3 linked regions of the Lytechinus pictus genome follow. The protein of the gene in region 1 purifies or fractionates together with the protein of each later gene. This does not show direct contact. Links are inferred from orthologs where the notes say so. Each region holds a gene or a part of one and is shown on either strand. Other genes may lie near its edges. The genes, in order: synaptosomal-associated protein 29-like, syntaxin-17-like and alpha-soluble NSF attachment protein-like.

Region 1 (10,305 bases):
AAGTTATGATGACATTTCAAACACCAAACATTAGGTTAAGATTTTGATATTGACTCCCCAACATGGTCTAAGTTCATTGACCCTTAATGACCTTTGACCTTGGTCATGTGACCTGAAACTCAGGCAGGATGTTCAGTAATATTTGATTAACCTTATGTCTAAGTTTCATGAACTAGGTCCATACTTTTCTAAATTATGCTGTCATTTCAAAAACTTAACCTTCGGTTAAGATTTGATGCTGATGCTGTCGCCGTCGGAAAAGCGGCGCCTATAGTCTCACTCTGCTATGCAGGTGAGACAAAAAATAGCTTGTAATCATATCCTCTGGAATTGGCTTTGAGAAAAATCCATCATATCTTTCAATATGTTAAAAGCAAATTGGCTACTAACACTATGTGGCTGAAAGGTGAAAATTTTCACAACTTTTGGTGCATATATGAGTGACAAGGCTTAGAAAGTGACCCTTCATTCAAACAAAGCTTAAAAACATTTAAGAATTCATAAAGTCATACCTGCCAAGTACCAACACTGACCCCCTCCCCCTCAAAACAAATACAGAAACAAATAAACAAAACAACAACAATAATAATAACAATAATAATAGAAAAAATCTAAAATCCCAATTTTCAGCACAATTCCAAAATATATCATTAAAATATGCAAGAGTATTTAAAGAATGAACACATCTGGAAGGTGTTACATGAGAGTTATAAGCAGCTCTGACAATTTGGTTTTATCCTTGGATTTGATTGGCTGAGAAGAACTGGTCTGTAGATTAGTTAACTGTCAGTGCTGGTAACTTTCACCCACTGCATTGAGTATTGACAACAGGTAAATTAACAAAATATTTACCATGAAAGATACACAAACAGCAAATGTAATAATCTAGAAATGAGAGAATTCATGTTGACTGGATATTGACAAAAATATGATCGAGGGGCAAAACATTGATGATAAAAAAAATATAATATAGTCACATCGTTAAACCTAACTGAGGAGAGACGGCTGACAAGTTTCCTGATACCAGCCTTCATTATCTTCTAAGGATCTTCTTTACTTCTTTGTCTGTTTTACCCAGTTTGTCATCTACTCTCTCTACCTTGCCTGTTATCCTGTCAATATCAGCATTCTGTCTCTCCAGTTCATCATTCAATCCCATGGCAAGTCCCTTTAGGCGACCAATACCTGAGCCAATTTCATCTAGTTGATAGGGAGAAGAAGAAGATAAATATAAGAATGATTGTAATTTGCTACCTAAATCATCTACAATCAAATGAGCAGGATAAATGTATTTCAACAGGGCAAAAACCTTAAAATATTGCATTGATAGTTATATGCATGGTAACTACAAAATATATATATAAAGAATATAACATGCAATCTGAACAAAATATGCAAATTACACTTTGCATCAATCCATCGTGTAGTTTACATTTCATGTATTCTTAAGGAATTCCTCAGATGACAGGAAAATAAATCTAAACACAATTTCTATGCTGTTTAATCAATATAACAATAAAAATTACCTCTATTTTGACTCTACTCTTTTTCAAATTTCTCTCTTGCCATAAATTCTATACTTTCAAATCAAATTTCTAGCATTAATAATAATGATAATAACAATAGCTGGATTTATAAATCGCTTTTTGCCAGAGGGTACAGAGCGCTGCTATATTACACTGGCTTTAGCAGTGCTACCCATATAGGCAATCAAACATTCATCAAGGTATTTATTCCTAATGGGGGTATATTTCATTAAATGCAGTTAAGAAATATTCAATCTTCATGAGTCTACATGTATAAGTAAATTGAATTGTTTCTTGTCCAAGTTGTTAGAAAATGGAACTGTAACAATTTCTAGCCATGTTAATAAGGATTTTTAATTCAATAGGTATGATTAATATTATGAATACTCAGTTTCAATGAATATGGATTTCAAAAGTCATTTTCAATTCATCATTCAAGGAGTTCTACTGCAAAGACAAATCAAAACTCATCACTCATTTCCTGAATGAAATGGGTGAAGGAAGGGATGGAGGAAACACTATCTACAGACATTAGAAAACTGTAGACTACCTTAGTGTAAGCCAATGAAGGAAACAAATCATACAACTAGATTACTACACCACTAATTGGTATTGATGTAGAAGAAGAGTGTTCCACTTTCCCTTTGTTAACAAATCAGAAAAAAAAAATTGAGAATTATCAGCAATCAGAAAGTATCATTATCCTCAAAGGAAACAAGACAATGCAAAATTTTCATTAAAAAGATTAATTTAATTTAATTAATTTTCATGAAACATGAGGCATTAGGAAGTTCTGGTTAACCTTTGGTAATCTTATTTCCATGTGTTCTATTGCGATTTATATGCATATTTTAAGATAAGAAAAAACGGTGACTGATTGTGTATCATTTATAATCCCAATTTCCAAGTTTCCTCCTAATATTCCAGAGACAAAAGGCACATGTGTAGAGATCATGTATCTCTCAATGTTATTGAAGTAATTATATTTATGTGTGGAAGTTTGCGGACCAAGCAGGCCTGGGACCAAGTAATATTTCATATCATAAAAATTGTCTTTTTCTCAATTTAGCCAACAAAACCAAGGTCTGGAAAACTGTTTCTTTGTATTATGATCTGATGACCCTTGGTAGTCGCAACTATCACATCACCTATATGTTCTGATTAAGACTAGAGATAATCTCTAGGCAGCAAATCTCCTTTGATCAAAGAATCACGTTGAATGTCTATCTAAAATAGATCCATGATTCAACTTAAGATCTCCTCCAAGAAATTCTGATTTCAGGGAATCCAGCCTTTGCCATAAAATGTTGTGTTGGGAAGGAGAAAAATAAATTAAACAGAATGGTGAAAGTTTGAAAGAAATCGGACAAGCAATAAGAAAGTTATAGCTGCTTTAAAATTAAGATCACTAATAGTATGTAGATTTCAAATTGGCAACTGGGTAAGTAAATTATGACAAGGGGCAAGGACAACTTTCCCATAGGCCATGTACTTTATTATCAGGGATTTGTGGTTTTCTCCTAAGTACCCATTCCCCTGGGGCAGTAATCTAAATATAACCCAGGTAGTATATTGTTTAATGTCCTCATGAAAGAAAAATATAATTTGAAATAAAACTTTTGGGAAAAATGACATTTTAGCCATAATATGTATTGGAGTACATGGAAGAGTAGTCCTTGCCTTACATCACTATGACATCCCATATGCGGCCAATTTGAAGTCTCCATGAGTATAGTGATTACCAATATTTACAACTTTTAAAAATTCATAACTTTCTTGTTGTTTGTCCAATATTGTTCAAACTTTCACCTATAAACTTGTCTGATTTTTCTTTTTCTTATAAAAACAAGTTTTTATTTGGGTTGGATTCCCCTTTAAAAGAAAATATTTTTCATAATAATGAACAAATATAAACTTTCAGCAAATCTAAATTCATCTGATCTGACCTACTTTTCAGAATGGAATTAATCATGTGGCAATGTTGCTGATTTAGCAGAGTTGTAAATTGTTTGTTGGGGGAAATGTCAATAATCTAGTTTTTGCTTCCATGACGCACAACAGATTAAAGAACATAGAAAATATATCCATGACATAGCACAACCAAAACTTGGTGAATCACAATGGCAGTTTCATCTTGGAGTCAGGACAAACGACAAATTTGCAATTTTTTGTCAGCTCTAGAACTTAGGACTAAACTTCTGTTCCGGTTCATCAATATTCAACAAAGACCTCCCAGCTGTTCTTTGTCATTGACAGGCACTTTCAATATATTTACTGTGTTCTTGAATCTGTCCCTATTGCAGTTGCAAAAAATACCTTATACAGAGACAATGCTGGTTTGCTCTCGATAAAATAAGATTGTGTATTTAATCTGAACAAGTGGTATGCCTCTGGCAAATCTAGTCTAGATCCGTGTATGTGCTGTGCCATGGACTAGAAATGGCCTGGTGGTAGAGACATGCCTACCAATCAATAGAAAACAAATTCATATCTGTCTGGTTCCAAGATTTTTTTTTTCTGACTTATTTTCTAGAACAAACATGATATCTTATTATACATGTATTACCTGGTGGGCGTTTCATAAGGCTGTTTGTAAGATAAGAGCAACTTTAAGAACGACTGGTGATCCTTTCTATTGGTAAATGGTATACACCATTGGTGATTATTCAGCGCGTAAGAAAGGCTCACCAGTCTTTCTTAATAAAGTTGCTCTTAACCTACATGTACGAACAGCTTTATGAAACGGCCCCCAGGTCTCTTTCTTTTATTCTCTATCTCATTACTTCTCCAATTTTGTGCTTTGTAGAAAAGTCATATGTAGTCCATTTCATTTTCAGTTTGTCACTACAATATATAGCTTACCTAGATTAGAATTGAGATGATTATCAAAGTCCCTCATACTATGTGACTGCAACACGTTACTGCTAGACATTCCACCATCATTCTCCCCTCCAAATCCTCCTGTACAAGATGAGCCCCAAGAACCTGCACTGGGCTCCGAAGCACCCACCCCTCTGAGCTTCAGAGCAGGATGATCAGAGTTAGCTCTTCTCATCTCTTCCTCTGCTTCCACCCTCTCCATGTGTGTCTTAAGGTTGCTAGAACCGTGTGACGGGGCTTGCTGCTCCTGCTGGCCAGCTTTGGGTTTGTTGAAGTAGTTTACAATGCCTCCAAATATTGATTTCATTGATGTGATATGTTTCTTAGATGTATCAAGGTCTTTGTCCATCTTGTCCAGTTTGGTGTCCACTCTCTTGAGTTGTTCACCTTGGTGTAAAAGTTCCTGCATAGGTTTTTTTTTTTAATATGAAAATATACATAATTTGTGATTACAAAGTAGAATTTTTCCCTACTTCAATTTCCTCTAATTTGGGATATCATCAAACATACAATCAATAAATTATTTTCATTTCATAAGGACCATTTTTTTTTTCATATTGGGGTGATTGCTGAATTCTGGGGCTTTTTTTTAATTTCAAGGTGCTACTTTCTTGCACAGTAGGCAATTATATGGTTATTCTGCCATATTGAATATACTGATTTTCTACATATTTTTCAATATTGTTTGTGGCAGATCTTAGGGCAACTTGAGAGAAGAGCGTCATCCCAAAGTTTTTGATTTGAAGAATTTTAGGAGGCAAGTTGGGCAAAATTACCCATCACAATATGTTTTTCCTACACTGATTCAAACACAGGAAATCATCTAACCTTCTTTTTCTTTTATATATATATATATATATACAGTGCGTCCCACAAAAAACGAAGCCGAGATTTATTGGTGATTTATCATATCTTAATCACAAATACAATAGACAAATGACCTACAATTGTAAAGCTTACAATCTCCCCTTATCTGAAATTACTTAGATTATTTCTCATTCACGCATGAGTGAGCAAAAACAATTTGAAGAGGGGATACCAAAGTCATTTGGCAGACTGTATCTGGGTTTCAAAAAGAAAACCACATTTTTAAAAAGTTTAATATCTGCTCTTTAATTTGATACCTCAATTACAGAAAATGTTCAGGAAATAACAAAGTTCTGGTTATTTGAAATAAGGCTTGAATTTCAATAATTTCATAAAATGAAGAGGTTCTACAGGCTAGCGTTCAAACTCACTTCTTGACACTCCGTTTTGTTGACGATCAGCCATGCATTAAGCATGTTAAGTCTTTTGTTAACCATGCGATAGCTTCTGTGGGAAACCGATGAAAACACGTTTATTTAATGAAATTATGGAAATACAAGCATTGTTTCGAGGGAACATAACTTTTTTTACTTCTCGACCATTTTGTCTGATTAAGGTATCAAATACAAGAGCACATATTGAACTTTTTAGGCATGTGATTTTCTTTTTGAAATTCAGATACCCCCCGCCAAATGAGTTTTTTGCATCCTTTCTTCAAATTGTTTTTGCTCACTCATGCGTGAATGAGGAATAATCTAAGTAAAATCAGATGAAAGAGGAGATTCTAAGCTTTACATTGGTAGGTCATTTGTTGATTGTATTTGTGATTAAGTTGTGATAAATCATCGCTTAATCTCGCTTTGGTTTTTTCTGGGACGCACTGTATATATATATGCAGGCTCGCACTAACACACTACCGTCAGTGAATGGGGATGATAGTAAAATGTCAGAAATTGTTAAATCCCCAGAAATGATTGTTATTCCTGTCTAACCATAGTCCTACCTGTAGAATCCCACAGGCAGGATGGTTGCAGTGAGCAAGTGAGTTAAGAGTGACTGAAAGGAGAATGAAACCCTTGAAACTAGCTGAATCCATATCAAAGAGAAAAATCAAAGAAACATATTGTTGAAAGTTTGAGGAAGATTGAATAAATGATAAGAAAGTTATGAGCATTTGAATATTGAGATCACTAGTGCCATGTAGATCCTCCCATCGGCAATGCGACCAAGATCTGTGATATCACACACGTACAACTCCCTCATTACTTTAGTACTTATTTCACTTATATTCTCACTTTTATAGAGTCTATCACAAGGTTATGTGTTTTCTTTATGAGATGACAAGTACAGAGGTTTCACAACATTATATCATTGATGAATCGTTTGTCATATGATTAGAATGAGCAAAAAGATATGTTTTGGGGTATATTTTCAGTGTCCGAATGGGAGAGTTGTACGTGCGTGACATCACAGATCTTGGTCGCATTGCCAATGGGAGGATCTACATAGCATTAGTGATCTCGACATTCAAATGCTCATAACTCTTTTATTGCTAGTCCTATTTTACTCAAAGTTTTGTTGATCTTATTCTTTGATTTTTCTGCTTTCACAAAAGCTAACTTGCTCCAAGAGTTTCATTCTCCTTTAAGTCTTTAGTTAGGAATGACTGGTGAACCTTCTTCTTAGTATCTTACATTAAATAATCATCAATCATTAACATGATCAAATAAATGGTGAATATCATTTACCACAAGGATCACCAGTAATCATGGTCATGCCAGTTGTTGAAGTCACTCTAACTTTTAAACATAGTGAACAGCTTTATGAAACAGGGGCCCGTTTCTCAACACCGTCATAAGTCTAACTTCTTGACTAAATCGGAGATAGTGAGCTACTTGTCCGCTAACCGTTTCACGAAGCCCTCTTTACCAAGATCGGGTACAACAACCTCACTAAATATTTATGACACCTCCGAACCTGTCTTAACTTCTTTCTTAATGACGTAGTGGCATCACGTGGGTAGACTATGACATGCGAAAGTGCCTAGAAATTTTAAAATTATAATCTTACATAATCAATCATAGAGATTGAAATTACATCACAAAACAAGTGGGTTAATGCATTCAATGATAATTGTAATACAAAGAAACTATAAAAACTGTTGGTAAACGCCACAAAACCATTAATTTTGAAATAGTAAAATGATTTAATCGATAAAGATTCTAGTTCTACCACGTCAGGCCATCCATAACAGAACTCGTATTTGTTGTTTTCAGACCCCTATTAACAGTTGGATGAATTCTATCTCTAATTTATGCATATAATTTGTCCAATATCGTATCTTTCGGTATCAATTATTAACAAGTGGAATGCCTCTGGCCGTCTCACCTGCATCACGCGATTCAATATAGCAGCAGTGCTGATTTTGAAAACTACTATAACTCGCACAAGATGTTCAGTGATACTTGGTTACTCTTATTTCCACGTTTTATGAACTAGACCAATACACTTATAGAGATATGATGGCAATTCAACAAATACCCCCAACGTGGCCAAAGTTCTTTGACCTTACATGACCTTTGACCTTGATCATGTGACCTGAAACTCGCACAGGATGTTCAGTGATACTTGATTACTCTTATGTCCAAGTTTTATGAACTAGACCAACACACTTTCAAATTTATGGCTGTAATTCAACAAATACCCCAATTTGGCCAAAGTTCATTGACCCTAAATGACCTTTGACCTTGATCATGTGACCTGAAACTTGCACAGGATGTTCAGTAATACTTGATTACTATTATGTCCAAGTTTCATGAATCAGATCCATAAACTTTTAAGGTTATGATGGTAATTCAACAGATACCCCCAATTCGGCCAAAGTTCATTGACCCTAAATGACCTTTGACCTTGGTCATGTGACGTGAAACTCATGCAAGATGTTCAGTGATACTTGATTGACCTTATGTATAAGTTTCATGAACTAGGTCCATATATTTTCTAAGTTATGATGACATTTCAAAAACTTAACCTTAGGTTAAGATTTTGATGTTGATTCCCCCAACATGGTCTAAGTTCATTGCCCCTAAATGACCTTTGACCTTGGTCATGTGACATGAAACTCAGGCAGGATGTTCAGTAATACTTGATTAACCTTATGGCCAAGTTTCATGAACTAGGTCCATATACTTTCTAAGTTATGCTGTCATTTCAAAAACTTAACCTCAGGTTAAGATTTGGTGTTGACGCCGCCGCCGCCGCCGTCGCCGCCGCCGTCGCCGTCGGAAAAGCGGCGCCTATAGTCTCACTCTGCTATGCAGGTGAGACAAAAATGTTTCGTTAACTATATTTTGATGACGTTTGGAATCGTAATGGTCCGTATAATTATCATCATTTTACAAAGAAAACCGTTATGGTTTACTTTCGTAAACTATTAAAATTGGGTCTCCCGGGGGTACCCATCTCAACGTCCACAAGTGATTTTTTAGTCATGAAATGAATTATTTTCTCTGAAATTGAATGCTCCAGTCTTCATGGTCTAAGTATGTATGATGCATAATTCACCTGTGCTATTATTTTGAAAAGATTTATTTCCCAATTCATCATAATATTTGCAATTTTGTAATAATTTTTCTTTTTGAAAATTATGCTATTTTGTGACTAAGGCTACGTCTCGTCTGCTCTTTTTACCGATAGTATCGATATCAAGGTATTCTAGTTAGGAAGCCTTTCGAGAAACAGGTTTAGTAAGATTGGAACTAACTCCGTGGTTGGTGGATAAAGATATGACTAACTTGTCCATGTGTTGAGAAACGGGCCCCAGGGCCCCAAGACCAGCTGCCCCGGGGGGGCCACTTACATTGACGAGTGGATACCATGCGCGACCAAAAAAACACGTAAAAAGGATGTCTTTTTCACGATAGGGCACGTTACGTACGTAACGTGATAAGGGTGTCAAAAACACAAAAATAATGAAAAAAGGGTGTAAGATTTAGAAAGTGTATTTTTTCTTTGAAATATTTAACATGACGTCAGAGACGTTATTGGGTCGTAGTATCATTTATCTGGGTCGATAGAGGGCGTTGGAAATTTGCCTTGCCAAGATCGACAAAGATTTAAAGTTCAGCCCGTCGTGACTTTACAGTAGAATTCAAGATAATCGGTACAAGTCCAATGTTGTAAGTAAAAGGACCTTTATATTTCCGTAATGTAATGTTTAACTGAATATATGGAACCAAAATTAACTCGAGACGATAATTAATTTGTTGTTAATTTAGCTCATAACTTTGGTGAAAGTGTTTGGAGTTAACGTATAGAATACAGGTGTGATAAACGTATATTGACATTGTACATTAATAGGTAATTGGACATGCACATGAAGAGTGTTGCGTAATAGCATATTGGTACGGTACTGTGTGGTAATCTCGCACACAGTGCATAGTAGGCTATTCATGTTCAGAGTTGTAAACGAAATGGAATGTCAAATAAACAAATGTTGTTCTTTGTTAGCTACATTTGGCTCTAGTTGTTGAAAAGGATACAGTATATGTATGAGTTTGGAAATAAGGCATTAAAGCCAGTTTTTGGTGCATTTTAAAGCCCTGATAATTACAAATAACACATACAGTGAAGGTGAAATGAAAGCCTAGTTATTTGGTTTGAGTAAAGTTATTGCTAGTCAATAATGCCCCAGAGTATATAGTTTAGAGGCAAGGTAATATTTAAGTATCGTAGTTGATATAAAGGACAAATGAGACAAAGTAAAGGTTTTGTTTATTTAACCGCATATAGCAAAGTTTATTCAAGGTCATTTGAATACATTGACAGAATTTGACAGGTAAATTTGTTACAGGAAACCAGAATATTTATTTATGCAAGATTCAAACGTCACAAATAATTTGTGCAATACATAGACTATTTATTTATCTCATGCAAGTACATAAATGTAACTGCATATACAGATGCTTATTATTGTTTGTTTATATTTTTATGCTACAGATTGAACATGCTCGATGGTATGCTCGATGGTATGCTAGATGGTATGCCCAGATTGTATATTTGATGCATCGTATGATAACTGGAAATTCCGCGT
Region 2 (10,537 bases), on another chromosome or scaffold:
TTATGGAGGTCATTTTACTTATTTTTGTGTGCAAATATTCTTCATCGCCCATTAATAATTGTATTAGATAATCTTTATTTTGTTAACTATTACAACTGTAGTATTTTCCGAACTCGAATTTTGGGTCATGATGGTATCAAATCTAAAAAATGCTTTATATGTTTAGCTTACAAAGATTTTGTTTTAAAATGGCAATATATTATATTTCATAATGGTGGATAATATGCGTGATTTCCCCTTTTATCATCTGAATAATGATGATTTCTTATTACTAAATCATCAAGATAAAAGCAATGTTATCTCAAATCATCATACTCCATTTGATAGATTTTCTACTGATATTCTTACAAATAATTTTGATGAACTTCAAGTTGAATTCGATATTCATGATAAAGCATACAATCTTTCCTCTTCTCCATATTATACAGAAAATTCATTCAAAGACTATGCTAAATTGATTGGAGAAGATGATGTTTTTATTTTGCATTTGAATATAAGAAGCGCTAACCAAAACTTCGAGAAATTACGATTATTATTAGAAAATACACAGTTTGCCAATCCCCCAATTATTGCTCTTACTGAAACTTGGTTCACAGAAACCCCGAATTCCTTATGCACCCTCCCGAATTATGATATTGTTATAAACAATAGGAAAAATAAAATTGGAGGTGGACTAGCATTATATATTCCGTCTTCATTTGATTATGCAATTAGACATGAATTTGAATATATGAATGAAATCATCGAATCCTTATTTGTAGAAGTAAAAATTCAAAAAGATAAGAAAACTCTAACAGGTGTCATCTACAGACCTCCTCAAACGTCTTGTATAGAAGATTTTTTACTTGCTACTAATGAACTTTTGCAAAACGGAGAATTGATAAATAACAATTGTATCATCACTGGTGATTTCAATATTAATCTATTGACCAGTAATCACTCTTTAACAAATTATTTCCTTGAATTAATGTTATCTTCTACTTTTTTGCCTATTATTTCTAGACCAACCCGTATTACTGATCATTCTGCTACGCTTATAGATAATATATTCTGTAACTCTCATCCTCTTCCGAAAGCTGGCATTGTAACGACAGACATATCCGATCATTTTCTTATTTTTACCCATATCCAAACAATGCAATCACTCGCAAAAATGGAAAAGAAATATAGGATCTGTCGCAACTTTAGTGATAAAAATATTGAACGCCTTCAAGAAGATTTAAGCTCTGTTGATTGGTCTGACGTTTATAACTCGAATGTGAATGTCGATGACTCATTTGACATATTTTTGAAATCTTTCAATGACTGCTTAGATTATTGTGTTCCTTTAAAGAAATATCGAAATTACGATTATAAACGTGTTCCAAAGCTCCCATGGGTTTCAAAATTGATATTAAGGTCTATAAATCGGAAAAATAATCTGTATGTTTCTTATATATCAAATCCAAATGATATTTCAAGGAATAGATACACGTCTTATAAAAATACCTTAACAACTACTCTCCGAATAGCAAAAAAGAGGTTTTATTCAGAAAAATTAAATTCATATAAAAACGACCTTAAAAATACATGGAAAACAATAAATGGGGCCCTAAACAAAATTAACAAATCTAGTGCTGTTCATAAATTATGTGTAGATGGAAATATGGTTGAAGATACTCATTCTATAGCAAATGAATTTAATACATATTTCTCTCAAATTGGACCAAAGTTAGCTGGAAATATTATGCCTGTAGAAAATTCGTTTAAGGACTTTTTGGATAAACAAAATGAAAGTTCAATATTTCTTACTCCAGTTCATAGAGAAGAATTACTTGAGATTGTATTTAATTTGAAAGCAGAAAAGACTCCCGGTTATGATGGCATTACAAATAGAGTTGTGAAAAACCTTATACATTCTCTTGCTTATCCTCTGCTTCATATATTTAATTTATCGTTGCAGCTTGGCCAGGTCCCAAAGAAGATGAAAATAGCTAAAGTTATACCCATTTTCAAGAAGGGAGACCAATTAATTACTAGTAATTACCGCCCAATATCTTTGTTAACTTCGTTCTCAAAAATTCTTGAAAGGATAATTTATAAAAGGACAGTTGCTTTCCTTAAGAAATATAGTATTATATGTGATAATCAATTCGGTTTTAGAGAAAAACATAATACAACTCATGCTATATTGACATTAATAAATAAAATATCTACTTCTTTTGACGATTCTGATCACACCGTAGGGTTATTCCTCGACTTCTCAAAAGCGTTTGATACAATAGATCATGAAATACTATTATGTAAGCTATCAAATTACGGTATCAGAGGGACAGCTTTACAATGGTTTAGGAGTTATCTTACTGATAGAATTCAGTTTGTTACAGTAAATGAATCAGAATCTCCAACAAGGCTAGTTTCCTGTGGAATTCCACAAGGTAGTATTCTTGGCCCTTTGCTCTTTGTACTTTATGTTAATGATATGAAAAATTCATCTCATGTTCTCTCATTTATTCTCTTTGCTGATGATTCCAATATTTTCTTTACACATCATGATCCACGTGTACTTGTGAGCACTATGAATGCAGAATTTAAAAAAGTAACAAACTGGATTAAAGCCAACAAACTGTCATTGAATCTGCAAAAAACTAATTATATGCTTTTTAGTCATTCATTGAAACATCTACCGCATCAAATACTTTTAGATAATACTGAAATCAAAGAAGTGCAAACAACAAAATTCTTAGGTCTTACTATTGATCACAAGCTTACGTGGAATGCTCATATCAACAATATTTGCAAAACTGTGGCAAGAAATATTGGAGTCATCAATAAGCTTAAAAACGCTCTTCCATCACAGGCGCTATCCATGTTGTATTGTGCATTAATTCTACCATATCTTAATTATGGAATTCTGGCATGGGGTAATGCCTCTCAAACGAGACTCAATAAAGTCTTGCTACTTCAGAAAAAAGTACTGAGAATAATATGCAATATGTCCTTAAGAGCTCATACAGATGAATTGTTTCGTCATAAACGTATCCTTAAAGTCAATGACCTGTATCGCTTGCAACTATTCCAATTCATGTATCAGCTAGATAGAAATAGTGTACCTAATGTCCTACAAAAGAAATTTATGAAAAACAATACCTTACATTCATATAATACGAGACATTCAAATGACTATCACTTACCCAAAAGTAGAACAGTATTTTCTAGCAAAACTGTATTTTTCACAGGACCAAAACTCTGGAATTCTCTGGATAGAGTAATAAAAGAGGCAGCTAATCTAAACCGATTTAAATTACTCATCAAAAAATTTATTCTGAATTCTTATTGATTCAATCAAATATTTTGTGAACCTCATACTTACCCACGGTAGTATTGATTATTTTAAAGTCAATATTTAATTTTGTATATAGTGTGAATACATTTGTGTTACAGTGTTTATATATAATTTTATAGAATTTTGCTGATTATTTTACTCTACTTATATCATATTACCCTTGTATAAAATCTTGATAGGGGGTCTACATTTTACAAGCTTTGCTTTTTAGTAGGCCCCTCCACTTTTTTCATTTCATTGCTACGTTTCAATCCTGTGTGTTATGCATTTTTTTCAGTGTTAAAATGATTTATTATAAATGTACTTTGATGATTGTGGAATATGAATATATCAATAAAATAAAATAAAAATAAATTAAGAAACCCCCTCTCAGCATCCTAACACGACATAATAAAACAAGTACCCAATAACAGAAAAAAAACCTATACGCCTCTCGTGCTCTGCCTCAAAACTACGCCTAATTCCACCAGCCACGCCAGTTTTACTCCTGCTTTCTAAACAAACTTGTTGAAATGACAAGAATATCTGTTAGCATTAGTAGTACAATAGCTATGTCTAGTCGAACTTTTGTACCCAAGTAACCTTTTACTAGTCATTTACTATTTAGGTTTTGGAGTTTAGAACGTCTACAACCCCCCCCCCCCCCCGAAAAAAAACCTATGTAATAATATTAATGTATAGCATTTATGATTAACTAGTTGCCTTTTCAAAGGCTCACTGTATATTACCCCATGTATCACGTTGTTAATTTAAAACTCATATCATACAGAAATTCTTCAGAAAAAAAATCTTGATTCATCATAAAACATGGCAGTTCATGGGACTCGTAATGCATGCGTGGTATGAAGAACGGCTTACTAGTGAGTAGACAATGGCGTCACCGGCGTCACAATAATAAGCATTAAAAAAGTAATGTTGCAATGTCTGTCCTGTTTTTATACAAAACAAACATCATGGCATGAACAGTGTCATTTCCATTTTGATAAATATACATACTTGCAGGTGTAAAGAAACATTTATAAAAACAAAAAAATACGTATGAAATAAATTGAATATAAAACATAAATGATATTGAAATCTAAATTTAAAATGGCTCCAGTGATAAGTCTTGCAAGGTTGAATAAAACAATTATGACGAAAACACACCGAAATTAGAATATCTTCAAATAGAACTTTGAAACCAAGAAAATAAGAGAGACATATTAGGATGGCAGGGAATTTTGATGAGAAAACTGTACTGATGCATTCATCTCACTTAGTGTATTCAGGAAATAATTTGAATTTTGAGAAAGATTGATGGGGGAAAACGCGTTTTGTATAGTTCCGCTATTATCATAATATGATTTATGAGATTCAGTTTCGCAAAATAAGAAGATAAGTATAAGGGTTATATCATTCTATCAGAATAGTTAAATGTATATTAGTCAATAGGTCTATTATGGTTAGAGGTCTGTTTTATAATCATGCTTGTTAATGGGATGGGGACTTGTTATTTCCATTCAAATAATTTCCAGTAAATGATAATAATAATATATAGCATTTATGAGGCGCCGATTATCTATAGTTTCATATTCAATGGAGCACTATATTATACCCATGTGATAGGTCTACATGGGCTGCACTGGTATGATTATGAATTGAATTGAATTTTTTAGAACGTCACTGGCATTCGCCAATATTTTGTTCAAAACAAGAAATACAAAATAATACAAAACAAATATACAATTCGAGGAATATAAGCAGATAAACAAAAACAAAATAGTATTTCGTCAAATGTATAACATGCCTCTTTTATTATTTACAATATAGGTCTTCTGTTTAATTATTGTTTTAACTTCACAATAGAATGTGCAATGGGCGGTCATGTAGGTTTTTATATTGTTTTGTTTGTTTGTTTTGCAGTGAAAAAGACATTCAACATACTTAATTTGCACGTTTCTTTTCTGTGTTCATGAAAACGCATACATAGGCAAAGTGCATTATAGGGAAAATTTCTTGCACTGACTGGTGCCCTTCTTTAGGTATAGGTCCAGAAATATATAATCATACTAATTTTCGCATGAATCCTCCTTGAATGTTTTCCGCAATCCAATTCTAGTGGCTGCCATTTCCTGAATTTCCCATAATTTTACAACCAAAATACCAAAGTCAAATGTCTGGGTTTTTTTTTTTTCAATTTTCAAGCTCATGGCCACTTATAGAAATGTTTTACCCTGGCTTGGAATTTCTCTTGCAATAGGCCGAGACTAAAACTGAATCGACGTTAGAAAAAATATTCAAACAAATCTCCAAGATTAAATATGATTTCTTTGGAATTAATTTTGGATATTATCTTTTTAAGATAATTATGTAGTATGGTATCACGTACTCTATAATCATTTATTTTTGACTTGGAAAGTAGCGTATATGCTACAGGTGCCAAAATAACAACGATGGCGAATTGGCGATGACCCCTTGGCGCCTGCGTGGGGCGGGGGTAGGCATTATGCCAGAGTTCCCCCACATGATTTTTTTTTAATCGGGGATCAATAACCGTACAATTTCAGCAGAAGTGAAGTTTTGGAGGAACCTGTGCCTTTGAATATTTTTAACAGAAATATGGCACAATGTAAATGCTCTGGATCATCATCATCTTTTTTTAAGCTTTCTCTCCGTATCCTAAGTCAAAATTCAAACTGAGGATAGAAAAGAAGAGTGATTAGTAAAGATCATGATAGTATCATGAAAGTTGGAACTTGAAGGAGAAGAAGAAGAAAAATAAAGACGTTAATATAATGGAAGACGAAGAAACGATAGAGGGCGACGTTAATCAACACTGAATATGCGGGATTTCCCACGAACGATTTCGTAAACAAAGCTAAGCTCGGCCTCCATCCTCAGACGAAATTGTGAGCTTTTCCTCGTATTTATAACATTTCTTAAAAACCGTTAGTGCACAGAGCGTTATTGGATACTGTGATGGACAGGGAATAACATATGACACACCAAGAATCCCCTTGTAAGTTGGACCAGTATGGTATGTTTCGGGTATGTTCACGCAGATATAACTTAAGTAACTACATGTACCGTATGTAGCTGACTCCTGACCACGGCTCCTAACTCTGAGCCTCGGGGCCGCGCCGCGCCCGCAGCTCGTACCGGTATCGGGCGGTGGTCCGGCCGCAATGCCAATGATCAGGGGCGGTATTCTGAAAACGTTCTTATCTTAATTTTGTTCTTATCTACGTCACGATCTCAAATTGGTATTCTGAAAACGTTCTTATCTTTTTCTTATCTTTTGTTCGTATCTTTTTCTTATCTTGCTAAACATCCTTACCTCGAGCGAAGTTCGTGCAGGCTCCACTCCACTTCACTACCGCTTCACCTACCCGAAGGTGAAGCGTAGTGTAGCGGTAGTAGTGAAGTGGAGTGGAGCCTGCACGAACTTTGCTCGAGGTAAAACATCCTATGCTGAGCGCGTAAATGTATTACTCGCGCATATAATACAAAAGCGCGCTAAAAAGATAAGAACAAAATGAAGATAAGTGGTATTCTGAAAACGTTCTTATCTTTTCTCTTTCTTATCTTTCACGATATTTATGATAATATTTAAGATAGCTAGAGGGTTATCACATCTCACGATGTCCGCGTTCGCTCTTGCTTAAAATCGATGGCCACTATTAGTAACAAGTTCCCACAAGTATTCCTCCCACCCTTTCTTTCAATCACCCTTTATTTTCCCGTCTCTTTTTTCTATCCCTTTTTTCTTTCTTTCTTTATTTATTCATTTTCTCTTTTTCTTCCTATCTGTCTGTCTTTCTTCCTTTCTATGTGTTTGTCTTTCTTTCTTTCTTTAAGTTTATTCTTCATTTATATCTTTGTTTTATTCTTTTGAATCTTTTAATTTCTTTACTTTTCTTTTGCTTTGTTTCATTTATTCTTCATATTTCTTCCTTTGTTATTTTCCCTTTTCATTTTATCCCTTTCTTTCTTTTCTTGAATAAGTCTTTATTTCTGCTTTTATTCTTTCCCCTTTCTCTCTTCCTTTTCTTTTCTTTTCATTTTTCTTTCTTCCGTCACATTTTTGTAATCTTTTTATTTCTTCCTTATTTTTTCTTTAATTCTTTCGTCTTTATATGTGCTTTTCCTTTTTTCCCCTTTTTCTTTCTTTCTTCCTTCCGTTAATATTAATTTTTTCCCCTTATTTTTTTTTCTTTTCTTTTTTTTTCTTTTTATTTTTGGGTTCTTTTTTTTTTTTTTTTCGTTCATTCGTTTGTTCTTTCTTTCATTTTTTTTTATTTCTGCTTCCTGACACTCTTGTGTCTTATTTACTTTCTTTCTTGTGTTTTATTCTTTATTTCGCTCATTCTTTTTTCGTTCATTCTTTATTAACTCTCTTTCTTTACTTTCCTCTCTGTGTCTTTCTTCTATCAATTATTTCTTTATTCTTTCCATTAATGTTTTTCCGTTTTCTTTTTTTTTATTAATTCTTCACTTTTCCTGACTTTTTATTTTCCCTTTTCGTTCCTTTTCTTTCTTTGAATTTTCCTTTCTTTCTTTTTATCTTTCTGTAATCTTTATTTTTGCTTTAATTTTCCTTTCATTTTTTCTCTCTCATCTTTATTTCTTTGGTTCATTTTCCTTTTCCTCTCTTTTTATTCTTTTTTATTTTGTCCTTTTACTTTTTTCCTTTAAGTTTCTTTCTTTTATTTCTTCATTTTTTCTTCCTCACTGTATCATTGATAATCGTTCTATTTTTTTCCTTATTTTATTATTTTTAAGTTCTTTTTGCTTGCTTACTTTCGTTTACTCTTTATTTCTTTCATTATTTTTTGCTTTGTTCCTTTCATCTTTTTTATTATTCCTGCTTCATTCTGACACCTTTCTGTGTACTTACTTTCTTTCTTCATATTTTATTCTTTATTCGTACCTGCTTTATTTACTTTTTATCTTTACTTTCTTTCTTTCTTTATTTTGTGCACGTGTCTCGAAATAATAATCAGTCATTGCGTATAAAATTCATATTTCGCGCAATGCGCAGGAAACAGTGTACGCACAGCGCCCATGATATTCTCTTGACATAAGGAACGCTTCTATTGGTTAAACTGCCAATATAAAGTGCATTTTGATTGGTAATATCCTAAAAATGGGCGTGTTGAAGATAAGAAGGAGGCAGTCCTTACAAAGATAAGAACGCGTTAAGAAGATTTTCAGAATACCGATTTGCAATGATTTTAGCGTCTTCTTATCTCAATGAGATAAGATAAAAGATAAGAACAAAGATAAGAACGTTTTCAGAATACCACCCCAGGGCTCCGTAACAGAAAGGTTAGCGAAACGGAATACAGAGCTACCAAGTCTCACGCATTGTGCGTGAGACTCACGCAGTCAGGGTCCGTCTCACGCATGGCACCTTTTTCTCTCACGTATCGGGACAGAAAAAATAAAAGTAGCATTATATTCGCTAGATTATACGCACTGGCCGCACGCCGTCGCGTCTACCCCGGCGCACGAGACGAATCGAGAGTACAGTCAGCGCACAGCTAGTACGTGATACGATGAATCGCGTGTGTGCATCGCATGGTTTTGTAGTATGGATTGATATCATGATGAAGCCTTGTTTTTACTTGCACGCTGTAAGCAATTTTTTATCGAATAATGTACATACACTTGCACGCTGCACTTCACCAGTACGACAATACACCAGGCGGTGGACTGTACTGTTTCCAGAAGAAGAAGAAGCCCATATCTCGCGCGAGCACCTTTTCGAAACGTACAAAGCGTAAGTACTGGCCGCGCCACGCAGAGACGCCGAGTCATGAAAATCTCACGCATAAAATTTTTTTGAACTTGGCATCTCTGGGAATAATGAAATGAAATGGCGTATCAAGATCATTGTTGCATGCTCATTAAGCTCAGCAGACTGACGAGGAACCAATCAGAATTGTGATTTCAAATTAGTGATTAGTCGCTAAAGTTTTTGTTTCGGGGCCAAGGGCAAGGCCAGTCACAATCAATGCTAACCCAGGCCAGGGAGAAAATTATGCACTTACCATGATTATATGGATGAAGGTCTATCGTGACACACAAATCCTGACATCGAGGCACAGACTGGAACCTCAAAAAACGAAAAGTTCTGTCGCGATACCTCTCCTTTCAAAATTCAAAAACAAAAATGGCCAATCGAGACCGAGGGTATATTTCGTTTTTTTGAGGTTCCAATCTGCGCATCGATGTCAGGATTTGTGTGTCAGGATCCCGGGGGGGCCACTTCCATTGACGAGTGGATACCATGCGCGACCATGGGGTCTCGAAAAGCACCCTAAACACGTATTTTCCATTTTCTGAAAATGCACCCCTTAACAAGTATTGGCGTCTGAAACCCTACACTTAACAAGTATTGGAAACAAAACGATACTCTTGGCAAGTATTCTCTGAAATGAACCCCTAAACAAGTACAGCGATATTTTATTGTTATATCACGGGTCCGTTCGTCGTGGGTTTTACCTTTACACAGTACGGCCCCACCTTCCACATCTCACACAAATCGGACTCTAAACACGTAGTGTTGGGGCAAAAAGGACATCCTTTATAAAACATTTTAATTTTGTTTTATCATCCCCGCAAATTCGATCCTAAACACGTAGCTTTCCTAGCGAATTAGATACCCTTTTTTCATTATTTTTGTGTTTTTGACACCCTTATCACGTTACGTATGTAACGTGCCCTATCTTGAAAAAGACATCCTTTTTACGTGTTTTTTTTGGTCGCGCATGGTATCCACTCGTCAATGTAAGTGGCCCCCCCGGGGTCAGGATAGACCTTCATCCATATAATCATGGTAAGTGCATAATTTTCTCCCTGGCCTGTGTTAGCATTGATTGTGAGTTGTGACTGGCCTTGCCCTTTATTATTATCATTTTATTAAGATTACTATTGAGACCCCAATCTACCCCAGTCCCGCGTCTCCCTCGTTTAGCACGGTTGACTCCTGGGGGGCGTTTCATCAACATTTTCATCCGACAAGTTGTCAGATCTGACAACTTTCCTTGATAATGATTGGCTGAGAGTCACTGTTACCATAGTAGCTGTCGGATAAAACAGTACTTGTCGGATACAACATCCGACAAGTCCTTTCATGAAACGCTTCCCTGGGTTAATCAATGCCAATGCTGGCAATGCCTAACTTAGCCTTGAGTAGCCTGGAGGCTTCTGGAGACGGATTTCCCTAGG
Region 3 (10,341 bases), on another chromosome or scaffold:
AAGCACCCTACTATCTAGGAAAACATCTTGAATGGCCCAATGTAGACTATAAAGCAGTTACCTTTTGTTTTTAAGTGAAAAGACTTATCAGTCTATATTGTTGAAGAGTTTTGTTTACTAAGTCTAGATCTACTTTAGATAGTAAATTAGTGAATTTGAAGGGGATTTTTTTTCTGTTCACAAACATAAGACAGGAAAGAAAGTTTCAGTTTTTCTTTTTTAGTTTTTCAGTGTTCAAACATTGAATTCTCTATTAACTACTAATACAGTTATCCACTACCCAGTATCCACAACATTCTTGAAATTAAATTCTATGCACATACATGTACGCACCTATATAAATCTTAACTCACTTTATGCCGTAAACAGCACTTAGTATCCTCTGGACAAGGCGCTATTGAGCTATCAGTTGAAGTAGTAAGTGACACAGAAAGCTGAGACAAGTATGCAATGTCCGCAGACAGACTTATGGGGCATTGCAAGAAAGTGAAGAAACTGGCATTCAATTGCAAGTCAATATGGGGTCTTAATTATCATGAAAATTCCAGCAATTAAGTGCAATTTTTTACTCGATTGCTGGTCTGCTTTTTCAACAAGAAGTAAAAATTCATTTGCTATAGATAAAATTGATCTATTAGTTACGAATTATAAATTTTCAGAAATTTGGTTGTGATTGAAAATTTTGTTCTTGAAACACCAATAAGGCAGATAAAATCAACATCTTTTGCTCTGCCTTTGCTTCAGGGTTTATTAATATACATATATCAAATAATTGTGAGGGTTTGTTCTTTGTAATATTGCTTAGCTTTACTTTTCAATCAAAATTATGAAATTGTTGATGTCAGTGTCTACTTCAAACTTTTCATGAAATAAAGCTTGCAAGTTTTATTAAGTTATCTTCTCTTCCATACCCCTGTCCTGGAACTTCTTCAAGTTACTCTGAGTATAAGGCAAATTTCTTTACAAAGTGACCACCATGGTCATCCACATAAATTATTTTTTTTAAAGGACCCTTAACATGTAATCTTGTCTCACTCTTAGTCTACCCTAACCTAGACAGGAAGACAAACACTGTCGCTTTTCAACAGCAATTCATGTAATTGTATGAAAAAGGGGCCCATGTCTGTGCACCAAGAAAAACAAAATATTACACATGGATTTCTTTAAAACTCCATAACAAATTTGCATTTGATATTGTTCCATATATTTTCATGAGTACTAATTTGTGCCAAAATCTTATTAAAAATAAATTTGCAGCAAATTATATATGGTTTTCTTGCAAAAAACTGTGGCCAGTCATTTTCAGATTTAAATAGGCCTAAACATTGCCTATGTCTGCGCACCCATTCACTTTATACAAAATGCCTGTAATTCAATATTATTTCAATCATCAGTTTGACTCAGAAAATCAGAATTTGATTAAATGAATATTATAAGTGTACAGAATGTCTTCGCTGCATGTCTCCAGTGTTAGAATCATGCATATCTGCATATACACAGACTTAGGGTACCTTGCCATATGCCATAGAGAGCACCCCGATGTCCTAATTTTTGAAAATTGATAACCTGGGGCGGTATTCTGAAAATCGTGTCAACTTTCGTGTTAAATATCGTGTTATCTCTCTGATTTAACACGCCCCTAACATACCCCCAAATCGGTATTCTGAAAACCGTGTTACCTGCATGTTATCTCATTTCGTGTTATCTATAGCTCCTCCCACTCTACATCTATTTAATCCAATCAAATGCGCTGTTAAAGAAACTAATCGCGCAAAATTTTCAGGGAAAAGGGAACGTGCGCACGCGACACGAAGCCTGCATTGTGACATCATTTTGTAAGCGCATACAGCTAAATAAAAGTTAGAGCTAGAAAGAGACGTGGGGAGGGGTATGTTTTCATACTTCACAAGATAACAAAATAGTAACATAATACAAGAAATTGATTGTTTCAGACAGCATGGATACGAAATTATAACAGGAGACAGAGGCCTCGATCGAATGTGCAGCGGGCAGGGGACGATCGCCCTAAAATATGGGGGCAAGCATAATTTATACATGCCCCCAATAATTTTGAGAACTTGAAAAATAAAAATGCAAATTTTGAAAAGCATGAAAAGCACTTTAAGAAAAATTATATCTGACATTGAAATATCAAACACAAAATTGTATTTTTTTTCTATATTATAATTTGATGCGTATAGCGATTAGCCATGCAAAAAAAAAAACACTTTTGACCGCCCCCTCCCCCCCCCCCCCCCCCCATCCGAAGCATATAGATTGACTGGCATGATAGATAAATTGAGAATAACCTAGAAGCATTGAGTTTTTAAAAAAATAATCATTGGAGCTATATACCGGTAATCATTGAAAAAGGGTTTTTAAAATGTGAATATCATAGAAAAGTTTCCCAATCGCTAATTCCATTCTTTTGAATTTTTGTTTGTGCTTTTTTTTAGACATTTTGTAACTTTCTTCCTCTCCTTTTGTCTTTTTTATATTATGGCAAAAAGTAACCAAATAAATAACTCATGATCATATATGATAATTAATCCAAATCAAAGATGCATTTAAAGTGTATTTTCATAGGAAATTCCAAAGAAATTGTTGTTTAATCATTGTTGGTAGAGACTAAAGGTAGATGGAAAATAAAGCTGGAAAAATGAAAGAAAATTACAGTAAATCCTGCCAAACGATAGCTATTATGTTCTTTTTGACGTTTGCGTCTATTAGAAAAAGTGCAGCCATCGTCATCCCCAACTTAACCTCTCCTTAACGCAGTGTCAAATTTTCGTGTTATCTTCGAACAAAATTTTAGCTAACACCATTTTCAGAATACCAAATTTCGTGTTATCTTCCTCCCTAACACCGCGTATGGGGGTTGCGCGTTGCGCACTGCGTATTTCATGACCTACGCAGTGTTACCACCTGGGCCACATGTTTTTCATGCTAACACGATTTTCAGAATACCAATCGTGTTAGCTAACACCATTTTTGTGCTAACACGGTATTCAGAATACCACCCCCGGGGGATATTCTGAACATTGTCTTTTCTTAAAATTTTATCTTTTTTCAGATATGACAGAATTGGTACAATGTATAGTATTTTGGTGGATGTTACAACTTTTGTCCAATCAAAATTGTCATAAATTTTGTCTCTTCTCTATAGCATGCACAAAATAATAAGCGAATTCATACATGCATAATCCTATTCCAAGCAAATTATAAAACTTGACAGGGCCTAGCAGTCATAAATTTTGCAATTTCTTTTAGTAACATTATATCCTGATACTACATAGTTCCTGACTGTATGTTAAGCACACATTGATATTGTTTGAATTAGACTGCTGCATTTAGTTTCACTTATCATCCATGACAATTTCAAAAATATTTTTTCATGCTACAAGTAATTAGGCCTTACATACTAGATCCAATTCCTCTTTTTCTCTCTTCTCTAGAAATTTTTCTCATCTTTATTTTAAATAGTTCTTAAAGGTCAAATCCACCCCAGAAAAATGTTGATTTGAATAAATATAGAAAAATCAAACTACATGTAGGCATAACGCTGAAAATTTCATCAAAATCGGATGTAAAATAAGAAAGTTATGGAATTTTAAAGTTTCGCTTATTTTTCACAAAACAGTGATATGCACAACTCTGTGACATGCAAATGAGTCAGTCGATGATGTCCATCACTCACTATTTCTTTTGTTTTTTATTGTTTGAATTATACAATTTTTAATTTTTTACAGATTTGACAATAAGGGCCAACTTGACTGAACCATATACAGTATTAAACAACGCTAACTACACATGTTCCAGGAGGAATTAATCGTTGTTTCGCTTGACAATGAGGAGAAAATTAGAATATTTCTTATTTCACATAATAAAGTGCAAAAGAAATAGTGAGTGGATGACGTCATTTGCATACCGAACTGGATGTGAATAGAACTGTTTTGTGAAATAAAGCGAAATTTTAAAAAGACATAGCTTTCTTATTTTACATCCGATTTCAATGAAATTTTCGGTGTTACGTTTTTTGGATTTTTCTCTTATTCAAATCAACTTTTTGTTGGGGTGGACTTGTCCTTTAAGTAAAACTTTAGGCCTAGACCTATTTTTTTCAAATTTCTATGATATATTTAGTACACTTTAAAGGGATGGTCCAGGCTGGAGATATTTATATCTCAATAAATAGAGTAAAATTCACAAAGCAAAATGCTGAAAATTTGATCAAAATCAGATAACAAATATCAAAGTTATTGAATTTTAAAGATTTGCATTATTCTGGTGAAACAGTTCTAGTCATGTCTTAATGAATATTCATTAGGTGGGCTGATGATGTCATATCCCCACTTTTGTATTAAGTTTATTCAACATTTTTCTTCCAAGAACTAAAACAATTGGATTGACAACTGATTAACTCTAGACTTAACGTGCCATGAACACATATCTGTGCATCCACTGGAGTGCCACAAACACATTTTCATGCAATGGTCATACAGCTATTGTTATGCCTATTGCATTTTGAGGAGTGCATTGCATGCACAAGTGATTCCATTGTTCAGTTCAGCTTAAGGTCAAGAGGTTTAAATTATTCAGGAGTAATTCCCTTTTTTTTTAATAAATAAAACAATTAAATATAGACTCTGAAAAAAAAAGGCACTCGCTGATTACAGTAAATGGCACATTAAGAGTTTAGTGCATTAATAATAATAGTTATTTATTGCCACAACTTATTTCATCATAATCATAATGGAGACACATCATTGTACACATTTATGAAAATATGAAAACAATTATGACATAGGCCTATCCGATTTTGATGAAATTTTCAGCATATTGCTCTGTGAATTGAGTTTTTTTTAACTATATTTATCTAGATAAAAAACTTTTCAGCCCAGAGTATCCCTTTATTAACTGTTACTCATATTTTGTGAAATAAAAAGAAATGCATGTTAAATCTTATTCTTAACCCAAATTGTTTGATGCGCAGACTTGAGACTGAGTCTCTCTAAGTAACCATGGAGGTAGAATGCTTTAACTACTCTCGGCCTCAAGACAAAATTCAAGACGATCTCGCATGTGATTGTGAGACTGACTGAGCAGTGAGCTGATCGACTGGTCTGGCTCTGCCTCTGGGCCGGGTCCCAATAATCATGATAATCAGCTTTCTTTAGTTGTTTCTTACCAAACCTGCAGTTGCAGTTAAGGCAGTCAATGATGATTAAACCGGTGTTTGGAGCAACCCACTGAGTCTTGAATTATTTCTGTCCTCTGAAATGAAGCAAGTGCAATTTAGAATGATGATCTTTTAACTTTTTGTTGCTGAATTAAACACCGGCTGTTATTTTCAAGTCAAATCAGCTGTTTCATCAAAACAAATCGAATCTCGCGCGAGCGCGCGCTCTGGTTAGAAAGGTCATCCCGCGATATTGCTAGTTCTGCATGCTGTCTACATGGGATCGTGGGATGAAGCTTCCGCATCCGGGCGCGGCCGCGGCCGGTAGGCGCGCGCTAGATATAGCTACATAGCTTGCTACGGTACGTGTGTGTAGATTTGGTGACACAACACTGAATGAATGATGTCATTATTATTAGACCGATCTTCAATCATTATCGTCATTGATAGATAGTTTAACTTGAAAATTTCCTTTAAATTCTGGTCGTGAGTCGTCAACATTAACAATACATAATCGCTTCAGGAATGGCGGATCACGAAGCCAAAGCAAATCAGTGTATGATTGATGCTGAAAAGAAGCTGAAGTCATCACAAGGATTTTTTGGTTCCATGTTTGGGTGAGTTGAATCTCTGTCTCTGATTCCTGAGTCTGATTTGATTTAGCGAAGTTAATCTTATCTTAACGTTTCTGATATTGACACAGGTTGACTCCACTAACTTTAGTTTTCAATTTTAGTGGGGCTAACGGGTGTATATGGATAATGGAACTCTTCCCTTGGCTTAATCTTTATTGGCCCTATTCAGGCTATTGATTGGTAACTTTGTCATTATTAATTAGACTTGGAGTGGACTGTTCTAGTCTAGTGACGTGTGAGACTTGAATTTTGAAAGACTGGGCGAACACTGGCCAAATTTGGATTTTGGTAGGTACATGTAACTGGGGGTTGGGGCCTAACGTAAGCTTGCAATGGGTTAGACAGCTGGCAGCCGTCTGTTTCGAGGAGTTTTTAAACATTTTTTTATTTTCTTAATTTCTCCTCGTACACAGACCGACAGACGGCTCGCTATCGTGCAGCCACCATTAGGGGACTTACAATGCAAAATCCCCCCGTCGGGGCTCTTCAATTTTGTCTTTAATGAATCAAACTTTTGAAAATTAACGCGACAGAAATGCAAATTAATATTCTCTCTTAGTCTTGGCATTAATTGCCAAAAACCGGGGAAAATCAAGTTAAACGGAACAAAAACAGTGACTTACATGTATGTACCTTGGCTGTCGCGCTACTTCACTGCCCTGTTTTATCCAAACTTAATACACATAAACATATGGCCATTGAGTCCCCTGTACAGATCGCGCTAGAACTTCGGTCTCTGTATTTAGTGAGTGAAGCCAACGGAGTTCAGCTGAACAACTAACATAACAGAGACCGAAGCTTTTGGTCTAGCAATGGGTATGGTATCTATAGGGTTAGTATACTAATACTAACCTCGCAATACATGTACATGTGAGTGGGTATGGTAGTGAATCGTAATTTGTATAGCCAAACACTTCATGAATTCAATCATCAAACACTATATTTTCCAAAAATTCACCAAACTTGTCTTTCACCATATAAACATACAAATAGATCTAGATTCTAGGCTATGTAGACATTTTGCCAAAATCGTTTATCTTTTATGACTTTTTTATGATATCAGATTCCGATCGAACCCCTCTTCGCATGTGAAATACCGGTATGGTGAAAATGGTATCGTATTACTGAATGTGTGTTTTCTATGGGAAAACTTGAGAAAACAAAATCACTGATGAGCTATTTTTACAATATTTTATTAGTTTATGAATATAAAGTCTTTGAAAATGTGTTTTGACCATTTTTCTGTCTATTCAAGTTCCCTTTGAAATGATTTTGCAAAGTTTTGAGCATATGAAATAAATTTCTGATGCGTATAAGGCGTGCGTCCGGTAATACATTCTTCCCTTCTCTCAGTTCCCTTTCTATGTTCCTTGCCTCCTTGTTCATATGTGCACATCAATCCATGTTCTTCTTCCGTTGAGTACAGTCCTCTTTACAGAGTATAGTCGTACTTGGCTGAGGCCGCAATCACAAAAGCACATGACATTTGGTGCAGTTGAAAAAAACTAAACTATAGTGCAAGTAAAAAGATGCATCTCAACTGGAGAGCTAACGGAGGGTGAGTGGTTCCAGGTGGCTCCTGAAACACTCAGTTGAAGGAGCCAAAACCACTGTTGTAGGCAGGACATTCCACAAGCAGATGGTACTTGGGAATCTCATTAAACAAACATATTTGAGGGAATCGAGAGTTGCTGTCCTAATTTTTTGTACAGGAAAAGAAACACTAGTTAACTTGAGCTCATTTTTCTACCTTGAATTAAATATAAGTGTTTTACAAGCAATAGTAGGTGTACCTCAAGCGATGTTCGTGCAGGCTTCAATTCACTACCGCTACCCTACGCTCCACCTAACCGATTATCGAGCCCGTAAACTCGTTCGGATACTCCAAGAGGCAAAGGTGGGAACAAAATATATTTATTGTAAAAATTATAGAAAAAAAATATAACGAGAAAGAAAAATAGCTTAATTTCTTACTCTACACCCTTATTTCACTCCGTGTCCATCCTCCGGTTATCCTCAAAATTTGTGATTTTGGGCCAGTATCTAGTTCCTCACACATAATTATTCACGGCCGATTTCAAAACATCGCATGCAAGTGAATGAATATATATTATATTGGATGGCTCAGAAAATACCAGAAATATTCTAAGAGTTTGGGAAAATATTCCACTGATTCGTAGAGGTATTCTCTTTGCTGCAAATGTTAACAAAAAAAGTTGGTCTTCCAAGCTGGAGACTGTCGGAAATTACATACTAAATCATCTACAAAAATCTCTGATACTGGAGATAATCTCCTGAATGAGAAAGAATTTCCAATATTGGCTGTGCACCTTCACTTGTAACGTAATGACAACAAAGTACATTAGACTGGTCCATGTGACTTTTCATAGTCATTGACATCAGACTCTTCCCTTTTGATTTTTTTTTATCAGGTGTTGGTGTTGACACCTTATTGCTCATGTGGAGTACTTTTTCATACATGTAGCTCTTCCTCTATCCTTATAACAAAACTGTTTGGTCCTTGTGCCTTGGTGAAGGCCGCCTTTGACATGCAATGAGCATGATTGAAAATGTCAACTGTGGTGAGTGAAGAAGACTTAGCAATTTCATAGCATGTTGAGATTGAAAGCCATCTGATAGACAGTAATATATATGTTTCGCTTCGTGGTGTTTTGGAAAGGAGTTTGCATTTTATATGAGGGATTCTCTCGTGTTACATTTCAGCTTTTCAGCTGCAGTCCCGGGGGGGGGGGGGGGGGGGCACTTCCATTGACGAGTGGATACCATGCGCGACCATGGGGTCCCGAAAAGCACCCTAAACAAGTATTTTCCATATTCTGAAAATGCACCCCTTAACAAGTATTGGCGTGTGAAACCCTACCCTTAACAAGTATTGGAAACAAAACAATACCCTTTTCAAGTATTCCCTGAATTGAACCCCTAAACAAGTACCGGTATAGCGATTATATGTCACAGACGTCGGTTTTACCTTTACCTGCATCATTGGGTTGGTACGGCCCCAGCTTCCACACCTCGCGCAAATCGGACTCTAAACACGTAGTGATAACTGTGGGGCAAAAAGTACATCCGTCATATAACATTTTAATCTTTTTACCCTCGCAAATTTGACCCTAAACATGTAGCTTAACTAGCGAAATAGATACCCTTTTTTCATTATTTTAGTGTTTTTGACACCCTTATTACGTTACGTACGTAACATGCCCTATCTTGAAAAAGACATCCTTTTTACATGTTTTTTTGGTCGCGCATGGAATCCACTTGCCAATGTAAGTGACCCCCCCCCCCCCCCCCCAGGGCTGCAGTATGTGTATGATTGTTTTACTGAAAATAATAAACCATGAAATGAACAAATGAAAACAGTATTGAGATGAAGTTCTTTGGTGAATTTGATAGTGCATGAAGAACCTTGTGCACTTGCTTGTTCCTGGGCAGTCAGGAGATTTTATTTGAATTTGCACAGAAGCAGCCACATCTGATCCTACATGTGGTTTTGCTTTTGTTCTTCAGACTCATATACGATAGCTCTGATTGTTAGAAAGTGCATAATTTAAGGTCAGCGATGAGACTACAGTCCGACCTCTCTTATCTGGACACGTTGGCACCAGTACCAATCCGGATAAGGGATTTTTCCGGATCGAGATACCCAATATTGAATACACGCAGCTGCCTCCCCAATGGTAGAGAGCTCTACATGTAATATATTCTAGTGGGCGTACACGGGGTGACACGACATTTGTTCCGGCGACAGTTGCTCCGGGCTTTATTTTGTCTAGGATGTAGGGTTAGGGTTGCAATAGGGTTTTGTGTTTAATATGTTTACTGTTAAGGTTTAAAATAAAGTATAGTTTTAAATGCAGGGTTGAAATTGGTCATTCCATTAAATGTGTGGAATTTGCAGCAGAGCAAATGTCATGGAACCGTACACAGACAGTATTTCACTGCAGTCAGTGCAAATTATAGGCATTTTTTTTTACTGAAATGAAATCGATTGGTTGCCAAAACTCTTGGATAATTTACCTGCTGAAATGATTGAGGAATACATCAAGCATACCTCGAAAAAAAAGAGAATGACTTGCTGAAACTAAGTTTGATAATTGGATAATCGCAGCTTCGCAAAGTCAGCCATTGTTATACTGACTGTAGGCTCAAACATGATAGATGGCGCTGTATGGGCAAGTCTATTCTCAGCGATGTGACCTACAGGTGAGAGGAGCGTGTCATGCACAATAGATCTGTGAATGGTTGCGCTGTGCCATGATTTACTGAAAATTATCCTGTCTAAGTTCTTTCGGTGATTTGGGCAAGATATTTTCATAAAAAAATCATGTGGTTGAAGGTTGACTACATGTATATTGGAAAATGTATATAATCAAAGTGAGATTGCATAGGAATTTTTATTTTAGATTGAAATCTCATTTCCCCCAAATACTAGATTGAAAAATATATTGCTTTACACATGCGTGACCAAAAAACTTGTTTAAAGGGGTGTTTTTTCAGTTTTGGATT

What was found.
Region 2: the proteins of synaptosomal-associated protein 29-like (region 1) and syntaxin-17-like purify together in Drosophila melanogaster (affinity purification with western blotting; 4 studies listed by BioGRID, with this or other methods). This does not show direct contact. The link is inferred for Lytechinus pictus from reciprocal best matches to the Drosophila melanogaster genes Snap29 and Syx17.
Region 3: the proteins of synaptosomal-associated protein 29-like (region 1) and alpha-soluble NSF attachment protein-like purify together in Drosophila melanogaster (affinity purification with mass spectrometry; 3 studies listed by BioGRID, with this or other methods). This does not show direct contact. The link is inferred for Lytechinus pictus from reciprocal best matches to the Drosophila melanogaster genes Snap29 and alphaSnap.

The regions. Positions count from the first base shown.
Region 1 is NC_087246.1:3,636,079-3,646,383, reverse strand, and holds the start of synaptosomal-associated protein 29-like, read right to left. Parts: upstream 4,820-10,305; 5' UTR 4,816-4,819; coding exon 4,389-4,815; intron 1,201-4,388; coding exon 1,034-1,200; 3' UTR 1-1,033.
Region 2 is NC_087245.1:2,742,055-2,752,591, reverse strand, and holds the start of syntaxin-17-like, read left to right. Parts: upstream 1-6,139; 5' UTR 6,140-6,323; intron 6,324-10,537.
Region 3 is NC_087251.1:20,744,721-20,755,061, forward strand, and holds the start of alpha-soluble NSF attachment protein-like, read left to right. Parts: upstream 1-5,424; 5' UTR 5,425-5,704; coding exon 5,705-5,796; intron 5,797-10,341. UniProt on the Drosophila melanogaster protein: Required for vesicular transport between the endoplasmic reticulum and the Golgi apparatus. Also between the endosome and phagosome.